3 linked regions of the Drosophila melanogaster genome follow. The protein of the gene in region 2 interacts with the protein of the main gene of each other region in a pairwise test. Each region holds a gene or a part of one and is shown on either strand. Other genes may lie near its edges.

What was found.
Region 1: the proteins of CRAT (region 2) and CG4168 interact in a two-hybrid assay, tested with the Drosophila melanogaster proteins (one large-scale study listed by BioGRID).
Region 3: the proteins of CRAT (region 2) and Pits interact in a two-hybrid assay, tested with the Drosophila melanogaster proteins (one large-scale study listed by BioGRID).

What each region holds. Positions count from the first base shown.
Region 1 is NT_033779.5:15,197,428-15,202,409, forward strand, and holds the start of CG4168 (uncharacterized protein), read right to left. Parts: upstream 3,033-4,982; 5' UTR 2,647-3,032; intron 1-2,646. Other genes in the region: Sfp35C (seminal fluid protein 35C), read right to left, coding at 4,280-4,335, 4,395-4,556, 4,610-4,637.
Region 2 is NT_033777.3:6,370,498-6,375,694, reverse strand, and holds CRAT (carnitine O-Acetyl-Transferase), read left to right. Parts: upstream 1-1,669; 5' UTR 1,670-1,849; coding exon 1,850-1,881; intron 1,882-2,120; exon of another isoform or gene 2,121-2,218; coding exon of another isoform or gene 2,219-2,235; intron 2,236-2,314; coding exon 2,315-2,393; intron 2,394-2,458; coding exon 2,459-3,525; intron 3,526-3,588; coding exon 3,589-3,837; intron 3,838-3,896; coding exon 3,897-4,458; 3' UTR 4,459-4,669; downstream 4,670-5,197. Other genes in the region: CG42564 (uncharacterized protein), read right to left, coding at 281-675, 995-1,216; CG10286 (uncharacterized protein), read right to left, coding at 4,801-5,197.
Region 3 is NC_004354.4:12,580,162-12,584,778, reverse strand, and holds the start of Pits (protein interacting with Ttk69 and Sin3A), read left to right. Parts: upstream 1-1,585; 5' UTR 1,586-2,228; coding exon 2,229-3,207; intron 3,208-4,617.

The DNA of each region.
Region 1 (4,982 bases), on a different chromosome or scaffold from region 2:
TCGATTTCCTCGGCTATCTGATACCCTGTACTCAGCGTTAGAGTGGGTAAGATGCACAATCTCGCCGTTTCTAGAATCTGCATTCTTAATATCAATGTTCAAAAAATATAGGGTCGAAAACTCATCCTTCTAACTGATACAAACTTTTCAACGAATGTTGTATACCCTTAACTCTAAAAGTAAGCGGTATAATTAAATACATGCATACATTTTTATAGCATTAATCGTTTATGTGCAACAATTTGATTTATTAATCTCATTACATTTTATTGGAAAAAATCAGACCAAAACTCCATAAAGTCAATCAGCAAAAGTGCCGTAAGGCAACCAAATAATTTAATCGACGGCATGTTATGGATATTTTATTTCTCTGTTCATTATAATGAGTTGATTAAGAGCTAGAGTAAACTTTCCAACCTGGCTAGACTCTGGTCAAGGAAAATTAACTTCGAGTGCGAAGTGTGGGAGGATGAAATGTACGCAGTTTATGATTGCCTTCACGCCTGTCTGGTCATTAGCCTAGGCACAACTTTGCCCCGAAAAAGCACATTTGCGGTCCCCGCATCCCTTGCTTTTTGTTTTCTTTTTTTTTATTTTGCATTTTCAGTAGTCCACAAATAAAACTTTTTTTGTTTGTTTATCCATGATGAGGGTTTGACAGAGATTGCTGTGATGGGGGGGAAGTGTAGGGCCAGAGGTCCTAAAGCATAAACAGATCAATAAAACAAGGCGAAGAAGAAAAGCCGACAGGACGACAGCCACAAAACTAGCTGAGGAATTCGCCCAAAAGAGGCCAAGAAATAACAGCGTCAACTGGCGCAGTTCCCATGCAAATTTCTCCAGACCCATGTATCTGCAACACCCCCGTCAGAAGAACCCAAGAACCCCATGGAACGGTGCCCATGGAACCCAGAGGCACCACGAGGACGACACTCTCCACGCCCATTAACTGTTGCCCGTCTATTTGTTTGTACAAATAATGTGTAAGCAGGCATATTTTTGTCAACGAGGCTAATTTCTGTCACAGATTTACGTGACAATGGCCCAGGCAAGAAGCTAGAGCCCAGAAGGCGCTGGGAAAGCCAAAGAAATCCGCATCAACACGCATACTCGGAATAAAAACACAACAATTACAAAACAGGTTTCATCCAGTGGGATGGGTTGGTGGGTGGTGGGTGGTGGGTGGCTTTGGACAAGTCTGGCAGTTTTTGGTCGAAATATTTTCGTTTCTTCTGCTGTCAGTGAAGTTGGTTATTCGTCGTCGTCGTTTTGCGGCCAGTTCGTAAAAGCCATAAAAAGAAATGTACCAAGCAGCAGTAGACAAAATAAAAAAAAAGAGGAGGCCCAAAACAAAACTGAGCTGTGAAGAACCAGCGTCGAAAAAAAACTGGGTTAGCTTGCGTACTCCCCCCAACATTCCCCATATTTCCCCACCTCCGTTCCATTGTTGCTCCTCGTTGTTTCTTTTTTTTTAGCACCTATGCACCGTTTTTGCGATGCACCCTGCTCCTGTCCGTCTTGGTTATTGTTGTCCAAGAAACTCAATGTGTGACACATATGCAGTCGCCACTCCCCCTGCCACCCACCGACGCCCACTCACCCACTCTGCCACTGCCACTGCAACACTACACCTCCAGATTTTTCTGCGCGTTCCACTTTTTCTTTCCATCATCTTAAAGACCAAAGACACAGATCCAAAAAATGTAGTGGTTGAGAAAAGTTTAAAACACTTATACTTTGTCTTTTAATCCTTCCTTCGAAAAAAATCTTTGTATGAACATTTATATTTCATTTGTATATACGTAGTTTCCTATTGTTTGCTACATATAAATGGCGATAATTTTTGGGAACCAAATTTGCAACCAAACTAAAATTGATCTAAAATTGTTAAAAACCACACATGTGTTTATATATTTTATTTGCCAAATCTACAGACATTTCGACTAACTCTCAGCTGTTATTTTAGTTGTTTGTCAAACAGCTGTTAGTTTATCAATAGCTCTCAATAAAACAAACTATCATTGCAAGTGTATGGTACCCAACATTTGCTTGTTAAATTAAAACCTTAAGCAAGTCCAACCTGATCCATGAACCAATCGAAATTGCATCCAATCCCTTGGACGGCAATGTAAATAGCCCGAGACATTTTCCCGATGCCTCAGCCGATCTGTGGAAACGCCAGTGAAGCGGCAGGATGCACTGGCCTGGCCATCAGAATCGGTGATTGACGCTGATACGTTTGCCACATTTAATTGGGAGAGTGGGTGGATCGCCACCCATCATCCGTCCACCACCCATCATCCACCCCCCGTCGAGGTTGTTTATTGACTGACAAGTGCTGCACATCCGGGCTGCGTTTGCGGAAATGAGCAAATGACTAATGACTGACCAGAGCGAAGGCACCCAAGGCGACGAGTGACCCTTGCCCACTCTGTTTTCTGTTTCTCCGCTTCTGTTTCTTGTTTACTGTGCGCTTCAATTAAAGCATCTTGCAGGAAATTGAACTTTTAGTCAAGTGCCTGGTCGAGTGAGTGGCTGGGAGTTGGAGGAGGAGGAGGTGGATGAGGATGATGATGTGGGGGGGCCAAGTGAGTGGGTGGTTCTTTGAGACAGCGACGGCGACTTGCTCATCAATCTGTTACGTACTTGACTTGTGGGTGGGTTCGTAGGTCGGCGGCTGTTCAGGGCTTGAAAAGCGTATCCGTATCCAGTTGTTGCATGTGCCTAGGCTACTTTTCTCTCCTTCGTTTGCTCTTTCTGCTTTCGTGCCACTTGAGTTTTGATTACTGATCACTTCACTTTGCAATCACCGCTTGATTACTTTTGGTATCATAAGCACTGCCGGATCTCCCTCGACCGATACGATCTCTGGTTAATGCTTCGCGGCTATCAAAGCCTATCTATTTGTGGTCACCATTTCGCGATTTTATCTAGCCGGCTAGAGGTACGAAATGTTGCCGTTGCACCAGCAACATCACTATACGGGCTGCCACTTGTGGCAAAAATGATAATCGGCGATGCTCACGCGCCAAATTACCAACGTGGACTGGCACATCCGTGCCACATTATGCGCATTTTATGGCACGTTGGCGACCTCGACACTCGCTTCGTTTTTAGATCACCCGAAGGCGAGGCATGCAACACGGAAATTGTTGTCCTAGGCGCAACAGACCCAAAAACCGAAGCCCCCGAAGTCAGTTGACACGACCCATGCCGCTGGTGCGAGAGCCCCAAAGCCCGAAGACCCACGATTACCGGAGCATCTGGGCATGCGCAGTGACTGAGCCGGAATTAGTATGCTATCTGGCAATGCTCTGTCATCAGGCGGAGTATTCAAAGAAATTCTAAACTGGACAGTGACTTGATGGGGGCAAAGACGAAGATGGATGTACAATAGGTGGATGGTGGGGGTGAGGTGCGGGAGATGGGCGACCGACCGGCCAGATTCAAGTTCAGGTCGCCCTTTGACCGCAAAATTCCGGCGGCCAGCTAATAAACTCCAGAAGAAGCCAAATTTGTTGTTCGAATTTATTGTGGAACATTCTTTCCAACTAACCCACAACTAAGACTGATAAATGGCCAAGCATACTGGCAATTTGCAAGTTTCTGACCGTTTTTAGAGCACTCAGTTAACCCCAAAAGTTTTATATGCCTCATCTAGGTGCGGCCCATTTCGGTCCTCTTACCCAGCACAGCTCCTTTTGCTGTTTTTAATCTACAATATTAGCCGGTAGTGATGTTTCAATTAATTTTTAAGGTGCACCCCAAACTGCCCAAGAACCGAAGAGCATAGAGATGGTTAAAGATATAAAGATGGAGGCTTTAAGATGCAAAATGGGGGCAGAGAACTCCGGACGAAGCCAGAACCGCATGCTAAGATATGATGGCAGATGCCAAGCAGGATGAATAAATGGCTTGGATGCAAAGTTTAAATTTTTCATAGTTGGGTGGCTCGGTTTGGTTCGCTTCGTTTCGTTTCGTTTGGGTTTGCTTTTCTGGGGCTTGAGTGGCAAAGTAAAATGTTCCTCATATTTGTCTTCTTGAGGTTTTCATCGGTCAAACTACGGAGCAATTGGACTTGTAGCACTAGCAGTAGATTATTTCATTAAGGCGAAACTAAGTTATGGTTAAAAATCATATCATATACCCTTTTTAAAACTCCCAAATGAAATAAACATCAAAATAGTGGACAAACAGCAATTGAACTATTTTTGAACTATTTATTTCTTAAAAGAAATATATTTAATTTATATAATTCAATTGAAAACATTTTATTTGGCTATTTACACATTTTAACGCCCATCTCACAGAACCCAGACACGGTTTTTACGAATTCTAAATACATTTAAAAGAAGTTAAAATCGGGTAAAAAACATTTCAAACATAAAGCTCACGGTCAAGATTATTCTTCTTTCGTCGGCACTTTTCATTTTCCAGAGCACAAGCGCTAGTTCCCTCAAAGTAACATTTGCCATCATAATTGCAGGTGGGCAAGATGCATTTTCCGCACGGCTTATTGCAGTTTTCTCCCCATGCAATTCCGATTAGCATACAGGCTGTTTGATTAACAATAAGAATGATCAAAATATTTAGAAAATCTTTAGCTTACCCAGAATAACTAAGAAAAACAATTTCATAATGATAGTAGCCGATTATAACTGACTTAAACAGTCTCAAGTACATTGCATTTTATTGGTTATATTGGTTAAGGTTAAATGCGTTAAAAAAGCATTACAATCCAATTAAATTTTGTACGAGATGGTATAATACGTTTAGTACATGTTAAAAATGAATGTGCGATTGACTCTAAACTTATTTTAGTCAGAAGAAATAGCTAACCGGTAGTCCACTAAATTCATTCATTCAGCTTGAGAATTTTCGGGTTAACTAAACTCATTAAGGTAAAATATGTAAAATAATAATTATTTAATTTTCTTTGTAAGACCACAACAATTGGATTCTGCTTCATAGTAATATACGTT
Region 2 (5,197 bases):
ATTTATGTTGTCAAAATATAATCAATTGGTGTTTATAGTAATTTTGAAAAATTTAATTTTTAATTTAAGAAGAAAAGTGACAGAATTATAACATTCAGATACTTTGTCTCCTAATAACAACAGGTACAATTTTTCGGTCTTTTTATAAATTTAGATAAGATTTAGAAAGGATTACAAAATATTAAAAAATAAATAATAATCATTTCAGGTTGAAATATTTACCAAATCCCGTAAGGACGCCCGAGTAAACAACCCTATATATTCCTTAAGTGGTACTCACTGAGATTCCTGCTCGACATACTTCATGATGTTCACCATCGAAGTTCTGGATTTTTCCCGCAACCACACCCCTATGATATCCCTAAGGATATCCTCCAACTCTGGCAATTTTCCTTTAATGCCTCGATACCCAACCGTCTGGCCAGCGTTTTGCGTGAACTTCGTGTTCCGGCACTCGTCGTGCCTCAGGACACAATCCCTCACATTGAATTCAGCTAGGTAGGCCAGTTCCGGGTTCCACTTCAAGGTGCCCATCCGACTGGCAGGACTCAGTCCGTTGAACCCTCCTTTGGCCACGCTATCCCTCAACTCATTAAATCGCCTTAATAGGAATCTTTCCACCTTTGGGCTTATCACTATGAGCTCAGCGTCCAGAGAGCACTTGTCGTGCAGTTCCTGAAGATATTATTGGTAACAAGTTAGGATAGTAACGCATTTTGGAAACAAAAATAACCCAGAACTTTTAGTATGACATTTTGTAACGAAGGTATACCTCTCAAAAGCCAATCAATTCGAAATTAATATTCGTCACTAATCAATTTTATCAACAAATTTTATGACATTGAAAATTTGAAAAAGTCCTAAATTAATTTATATTTGGCTTTCTTTCAACCATTTATACCTTATATAGTGTATGCGAACAAAAAATGTTGTTTTGTTAATTTGAATTAGTTGGTTGTTATCACGTGGCACACATTTTAGTTTAGTAACTTACGATTGATGCGTTGCAAGCCACATGTTTGAGTTCTTTGTGGCACAAGGAGGGATCGCAGTAGTCCGGTAGTTCCGTTGAGGAGCTGTTTCCTGGCTCCTCTTGACCTTGCGAACCTCCAGGAGATGGGTGACCAGCTTCGGTGACCGCTGGACTTGGTGTCGTAGTGGCTGCCGTTTGAATGGTCAAACAACTGGCAATCAGAAAAACGACAAGGGCCAACATTTTTCATCCAGAGACCGTGGCGTATTAACGTTAGTTTTTCAAAACGTAGATCAAACGGTTCGGACTGTGAAATCACAATTTGCAAAGATCAAATGATACAGCAAAACCAATGGTAGAATTTTTAGCAGATTAAACATTATATTGATAGTTTGGTTCGTCTCATAAAAAGCCGGAACAAATTATTGGGCAAAGTTTTTTAAAGCTTAATTTTGGATTTCCAAAAAAAAAAAATTGAAATCTTAAAAGTTCACGTTATTCTACTTAATAATATTAACGTTTTGAGATTATCATTCGTGCCGAAAATTTACTAAAGTAATTTTTCTGCAAAGAACCCCCCTAGTTTTTTATGAATACTAGAGCTGGGAATTCATCGATATTATTCACAAAACGTACGCTAGCTTATCATGAACATATATTGCATACTAATAGTATTGCTTGTTTTCTAAATATTAGCTTTAAAGAAGTTTTGGAATTGCTTGTGATTTTAATCGATTGTTATCCATTATTGATAGCACAGTTAAACCAACAACAGGGAGTGCTTATTTACTTGTTGCTGTTTGACAACAGCTGTTTCTTGTTTTGATTTGAACATACAAACATATATAAACATATATGTTTATATAGAATCTATAGATGTTAATTAACCGGAGCAAAACAAGAGTGAGGTAAACTTAAATTCTTTATTTGAACTGATGGGCAAGGACAGTCGAACCAGTTAAGGATTATATAAAAAGTGGTTATATATCTAGATGGTAATCATCGTGTATTTCGCTGGTATGGTATGGATATTAAGAGACGCACTCTTGGGAGAGCGAAAGTAAATAAACCGGTCGCTGATAGCATTTAAGTTGGGCTCCACTCCACTCCCACCCTTCTGCCTACGTGGACTGCTCTTTCGATGGCCAGTTGATTGGCAACTGCCGTTTTGCTTGCACTTGCCTCCTCCGCTGGCTGCTAATCGTGAGCCATTAGTTTATCGCTCCTTATAGCTAGAAGTAGATTATGTACAAATATCAAAGGTTAATTCAGTGCCACAGGCACACCAACCGGTGGTTGGACTTTAAAGTAACACTCGAATACCATTTCTCCGTTTTGCAGCCCAACGTCTGAGCGAATCCTCGAGAAAACCGAAGCCGAGATGAAGTTCCGTGGCAATGGAAAGCTTTTGTGGAATTTGGTAGTGCTCCATATGGAATGCTTGTGATTCTCCGTTCGGTAATCTGTATCCCATTCGATTTCCAGACCAAGAACTCCTTGGCCCAGCAGTCTCCAAATGGGATCGCCAAGAAAGTGCTGCCCGCTAGCAGCTACAGCACCGTCCAGAAGACCATTCCCTTGGAGCAGCCGAATCTGCTGAAGTACCACGTCCTGCCGCTGGAGGAAACGCTGAACCGCTTCATGACCACTGTGGAACCTCTCCTGACGCCTGAGGAGTTTCAACGGCAAAAGGGAATCACCTCCGAGTTTTTAAAAAAGCAGGGACGCGAACTGCAGCTGCTCCTGGAAGAAACCGGCAGCAAGGAGAAGAATTGGCTGGCCCACCGCTGGCTGAAGGCTGCCTATTTGACCTATCGAGATCCAGTCACCGTGTTCGTGAGTCCTGGCATGACCTTTCCCAAGCAAAACTTCAGGGACTCACGTGCTTTCGTGGACTATACCGCCAGGGTTATCTATGGACTGGGAGAATTCAACGACATGGTGCACGCCAACAAAATTCCGATCGTTAAAATGGGCAAGAACGAGCTGGACAACAGCCAGTTTGGCAAGGTATTCGGCACATGTCGGATTCCCAGAAGGGGCACCGACGAGATCGTGTACAATCCCGACTCCGATTATGTGGTGGTGATCTACAAGAATCACTTCTACCAACTGAAGATATACAGTAAGGAGGGAAAGCTCATTGCTGCACCATGTCTAGCTGCTCAACTCGAGAATATCGTCTTGAAGGAAACGCAAGTGGGAGTTCCTTATGGTATTCTGACCACCGACTCCAGGGACAATTGGGCGGAGGCCTACGAATATCTGGTTGAGACTCCTGGCAACCGGGATGCCCTCAAGACCATTCAGGGTGCTCTGTTCACCGTCTCACTCGATGAGGGTACTATCCTAAAGGAAGGCGAAGAGACCGACGAACTTATCCTATCGCTGATCCATGGCAGTGGCAGCAAGATAAACAGCGGCAACCGTTGGATGGACAAGACTATTCAGCTGGTGGTAAACCCCAATGGAAACGTCGGATTCACTTATGAGCACTCGCCGGCTGAGGGCCAGCCCATTGCGATGATGATGGACTACGTGGTGCAAAAGATGTAAGTTGAATAGGGCGCATGTGGTTAAAAACAACTTTATATTTATAATTTATATTATTTTAGGAAGGAAGACCCTAGCTTCGGGCAATCTGGCTCACAGGACTTTGCTCCTGCACAGAAAATACAGTTCTCTTCGAGCAATAAAAGTCTAGAGAAATCTTTGAACGTCGCCCAGGAAAACGTGGATAAACTTGCCGATGCTCTCCAAATGAAGGTTCTGAAATTCAACGGCTTTGGAAAGGATTTCATAAAGAAACAGCGTCTGGGTCCGGACAGCTTTGTTCAGATGGCGCTGCAGCTCGCCTTCTACAAGTAACTAGATGATCTTCCTACAGATTTTCAATATAGCCGAATACATTTACGTTTTGCAGAATGCACTCGGAACCACCTGCGCAATATGAGTCGGCGCACTTGCGCATATTCGACGGCGGACGAACCGAAACTATACGCTCTTGCTCCAACGAATCCCTGGCCTTTTCCCGCGCTATGCAGGACCCAAACGTTACCGATCAGGAACGCGCCGCCAAGCTTCGTGAGGCAGTAGTGTCTCATCAGACGTATGCTAAGCTGGCTCTTCAGGGAAAGGGTGTGGATCGTCACCTGCTTGGACTGAAGCTGATGGCTCTGGAGCACAGCAAGCCAATTCCCGAGTTCTTCAAGTCGCCGGGCTTTGTTAAGTCCAGTCACTTCCGCATGTCCACCTCACAGGTAGCCACTAAATACGATGCTTTCATGGGATACGGCCCGGCGACTGACGATGGTTATGCATGCTGCTATAATCCTCGGGATAATGACATCATATTGGCCATATCCGCTTGGCGCCATTGCCCAATAACGGATCACTTGAAGTTCGTTAAGACCCTCGAGCAATCCTTTTTCGAAATGAAGAATGTTCTCGAGAAGAACCCGCCTGAGACTAAGTCGAAGTTGTAAAAATGTACCAGAATAATAAAATTTAGCAGGGATCAAACTTTGAAGGACTTGATTTAACAGATGAAAGGATTTGGACTAGAATGGACAAACACTTGCTGCACTTGAAAACTAAATATGCTTTACATTTTAGCTATGGAATCAATCGATCTATTAACGCTTTTTTAAGTGGAAAACTTGTTAGTCGAATATTAATAAATACAAAAGACATGACAATTAGGAAGTTACAAATTTAACAGATTTTTTCTGTTTCTATTATCGTCGACAAATATTTTGGCATGCTTAAGAACTAAAAGTATTGTTCTCTGAAACTAGACAATAGCTTTAATTAGTGGTCATGTTAATTTATTTTTTACAGTTCTTATTAAGATAAAAAACAAAGCGTGAAAAATTAGTCTTCACTGTTTGCACTGTGGCTCGTCGCTCCTTTAGCTCCCGTCGCTGCTGCCGCAGTTTAGACTTGAACAACTCCTCTAGTGCCTGGACACGATCGCACATCTCCAACTCCGCGATGATCTGCGGCCAGTCGTCCACTGCGAAAATGTCCATTAGTGCATCTAGTCCTTCAGACAGGGCCCACAGGTCATCTTCCTGGGCACAGTAAGTCAATAGGAAGAGCACTATTGCCTTAACCAGGGGCTCTGAGAGCAGAGAACCCAGCGTACCCAGCATGCGGTTCCAGTTAACGCGAATATTTATATCTGTGCACTTGCTAGCGCCCTCGATAATCATGTTGAGATCA
Region 3 (4,617 bases), on a different chromosome or scaffold from region 2:
CAATTAACTGCTTACATAAGACATTTGAGTCGGGCCCTTGTTATACGGACGTATGCCAGTAGAACAGTGGCCGCGCCGAACCGATCTAGCATTTAACTATCTATATACAACAAATATGTGCGATATTTTTTATATGCAGCTAATTTAATGTGTTGTATTTTGACCCCACACCACCTTGTAACTACGTTTATACGCCTGCTTTTCGAAAATTGAGTAACGCTTATAGAATTTTCGATTCAATTCTTTATGCCTTTTAACAGTTGAACATATATAATCAGTATAGCAACATTTTCTACCCACTTGTAAATAAGTTTATAACTAATGCAGTTTTTGTTGCCTACTTATTCGGGAGTCGAAAGGTCTGTAATTACAAATAAAGCTTGTGTATAAACGTAGTTCGTAGATTCTCTTTTGATTTTAATCTTAAAACATTTTTTGTTAATAAAAGAGGAAATTAAAAAAAAACTTTTAAACTTTCTAGTGTCTTTATTGTGGAATTTTAATTTTGTGGCAATTTAAAGAATATTTTTATATCTTTAATTGAGCCAAACATTTCATAAATAAAATCTCAAATGAAATGTTAAGAAGCGAGTACAGTTGCGCGTGCACGGACATAAACTTATGGCCGGGACTGTATGGAAAGGTGGGGGTGTAAGGAAAGGACCCCGTTTACGAGGTCGTTGCTTGTTCGTGTGTTTCTGTATCTGGTGGCTCCTTTTTCCGCATTTCCTTTTAACAGGATGTACGCACAGATACGGAATTTGTCCCAGACCATGGTCGGGAAATCGATTCAGGCCAAACGCCAGGAATACGAACACCCAAGCATTTTCGCCTATACATATGTACATATATGCAACGATATGCATACACATACATGCTTGCAGTTTGTGGTCCTGCGCAGTGCTTTACGGATGTCCTTGTTTTTTTTTTTTTTTTTGCTAGGAATGAGGGCTTTTAATTTCATTAACAGTTACAGAGCTCTGTTAAGTCAGCTGTTCGCCGAGCGAAAGAGACGGAGCATACCAGATTCAAGGTCTACATAACTGTATCCTATGTACATACGTTCGGTATCTATACGAAAAACGGATGTGTATCCACGAACTTTACATGGTATACTTACAGGCGGACTTTGGGGGAAGGACTTCGTCACTAGATTCCGTTTCGTGAATATGACGTGCAGGCACGTACGCTGGCAGGGTCGTAGCCCCAAAGGGGGTTAAAAATAAAAATAAATATTATTTTTAATTACTTAAACAGCCAAAAGGGTTTATTTTTAATATTTGGGCGTAATATTAGGAGCAATATATTAAAAGCTATATATATTAATACGAAATAGTAGAATTACTATGCTCAAAATGATGCTAAATTTTAAAGAAAATTTAAAATTTCCTTAGCTTTATCATGGTTGAAGTCTTCGCTACAGTCTCAGCCACTTTGGCAACCCTGGTTGAAGTCCACTGAAAGGTTCGTGTCTCTGATATAAGCCAGTATTTCAGGTATTTTCTTGGTATTTCCCATTGCGGCAGCGAAGATTTTTTAGTACATTTCGCTTGGCCCCTGGGGTATATTCTCACATACCAGCCAAGGCCACACTCTATCAGCAAGCTGTGTGGCGTCCGGTCGCTTTTTCAGTCATTCGTTGCGTCGCTGCGATCTCATCGTTCGTTTTGTTCCTACACGTTTTTGGCGTCGTCGTACATTTACGTGTCCCGCTTACTCGCGCGCACCCTCTCTCTTTCACTCTGCGGCGCGCGTGCCTAAGTGTGGTGTGTGGTGTGTGTGCCTGTGTGCGTGCGTGTTGGCGAGCAGCGCGGCGCAGCACAATAGAAAAGAAGAAGAAGAAGAAGCTGAAGCTGAAGGAAAAAACATAAGTGAATTTTTTTCGGGTGGAAGCGCGGTGAAATATGCGTGCGTGCGCGCGTGTATATGTGCGTGTGTGCGAAAATCAATACGAAAACATGAATAACAAATGCTAAATAAGAAAAATAGCTACAACGCACAACCGAAAAGAAGCTGAAACAAGAAAAAAGAAAGCGAAAAAAAAGGAGAAAATAATAAATAATAGGAATTGGGAATCCAGCAGGAAGGAACAGTTAGCCATTCCAGTGAGCTAAAACAGCACAAACCCATTTCCAGATCCAGCCCATCCAGGGCTTCCAATTGACAGTTGCCAATTGACAGTTGACAGTTGCTAGTTGCCAGTTGACAGTTTCCAGAAACGCAGCAGGATGTCGCTGCAAACGAAAAGGCAGCACTGCTATCTGTGCGATTTACCCCGCATGCCCTGGGCGATGATCAATGACTTCTCGGAGGCGGTGTGCCGCGGTTGCGTCAACTATGAGGGCGCCGATCGCATCGAGGCGGTGCTGGACGCCGCCCGCCAAATGAAGCGTCTCCATCCCGCCAGCAAACAGCAGCGTTCCCATGAGAACGGCGAAGTGTCCGCCGCTGCAGCGGCCGCCGTCGTCCTACAGCAGCAACAACAGTTACAAGTCGGTCCAGTTCCGGGACAAGGACCGGGTTCCCATCGCGGCGGAGGTGGCGGCGGTCCACCGGGTGCTCCGCCCGGAAGTGGTGGTCCAGGTCCGTCGGGCGCCGGTTCGCTCAGTTCGCTGGGCAATGCCGTTGCTGCTGCCGCCGCCGCTGCTGCAGTGCATCATCACCATCAGATGCCCTATCAAATGCCAGTGCCACGCATCGGTCCGCCACTGGACTATCCCGTTAAGCTGGAGGATGCCCCCGGTGGCGGCGTACGACCCGTACGCATTTCACACATGACGCCCCACCACCTGCCGCCAAATGCGACCCGCGGCGGTGGCGGTGCACCCGGCGGCGGCGTACCCACCGCCGGCAGTGGCGGTGGCAGCCTACCGCCCGCCCTATCCGTGAATTTAAAGCGTCCGCCCAGCGAGGATGTCGATGTGGATGTAAGCCAGCAGCAACAGCAGTCGGGACACGGCCTGGCGCCAGATGGCAGTGCTGGCAACTCCCTATCCGCCGGCGGAGGCGTATCCGGCGGTTGTCCGCCCGGCATCAAGCGCAGCGCCATGGACGATCCAAGTGGCGTGGGCGGCAGACCGCCATTGACGCGTGGCGAATCCCTGCCAGCGGCGGTCAGCTATGTGCCCGAGCGTCAGCTTAGCGGACTCCGTGATAAGCAGCAGCCGGTCAGAGCGCCCAGTTTCGATGCATCGACCTTCAAAGCAGGTGAGCAAACATGACATAGATCATTCAAAATACTTGGCACAGTGGTTACCCAATAGAAAGAACTTTGCTGCAGCAAGTAATGGGAAAATTTTTCATTTGCAGTAGGGATTCGGGAAAAGCAGGAGTAGTTTCAACTACCTTGAAAACTACCTTTCATAATAATTAGAGTAAAGTGATCAGAGTCTCAAAAGTGCCGCGTTGATAAATATTTGGCTTTATAAATGATAGTACAAAACACTATCTATCGTGGTGGAAAACAGATTTGGGATAATCCCCTATCAGTGATGGATTTCTTATCACTTATAGCGATCGGATCGAATCGCCAGTGGGAAATACGCGATATGGATTAAAAAATGGAGTGACCAGGGGGATGTTGTTTCCCAGCCACAGTGAACACTTGATATCTTCTAAAGTATATTTTATCAAAATATTTCAAATACAAAACTCTTCGAGGGGTGATATTTCAGTTTGCTTTGATAGCCAATGTCAAACAAAAATAAAAACTTGTTTAAACAAACAAGTGAGTTAGAGGAAATTTTTTTTTGCTAATTTCAATCTAAGATTTGCTGGATAAAATTAAACACTATTTTATCCTCCGGAAACATAGGAAATTTGCTTAAATCCTAAGTTTGAAAAAGTTGGCGGCCACTGTATTTGTTTACCGTTTCTTACCAATCCCCCGCCTTTTTTTTTTTAATATGAGCCGTGATCGCGGGATACAGAGCACTGTTTCTGCCTCGCTCTAGCCTGGATGTGGGTGGAAGGTCGTGGTGGGGGAGTGGGAGGAAGAGAGGCGGCGATATAGTGGCACACATACCGCTTATTCAGGGCAGAGTGAAACGGCGTGATTGCCTGCTCCTTATCTCTCCTTACTGGAAGGCGAGCTAGAAGAAGACTGCGCTTCTCATGTATATGCACGTACACATTTACGTTTGCATGGATGATAAGGAGCGTTGTGTTGGAGATTAGATAACTCATTTGCTTATCAGCGCGTCCTTATCGCCACCCAATGCGTATGTATAACTCACACATACACGCATACGTGCACATGCATGCATGTACATTCAAACAGAAAAAGAAGCGTATAAACGCATTTTGCAACCCTCTGTGGAAAAAAGGGGCTGCTAACCCTTGCCATTAAAAGGCATGCGCACATGCCAATATACATATAGGGAATATACATGTGCATGTACCGCGCAGACACACACGCGCACACAACTACGTGTTCGTTTACATGCACGTACGTAACAGTCGCAATGGCAATAACAAAAAACGGCGAGAAAAAAAAGCGCAAAAAGCACACGAAAAAAGGGCCGCAGAATGTAATATAAACAGAGACGTGCAAAAATCGTCGACGCTGACGTTGTAATGTTCTCGCTCTCTATCTCTTTCTCCCTCCGTCTTCTGTCG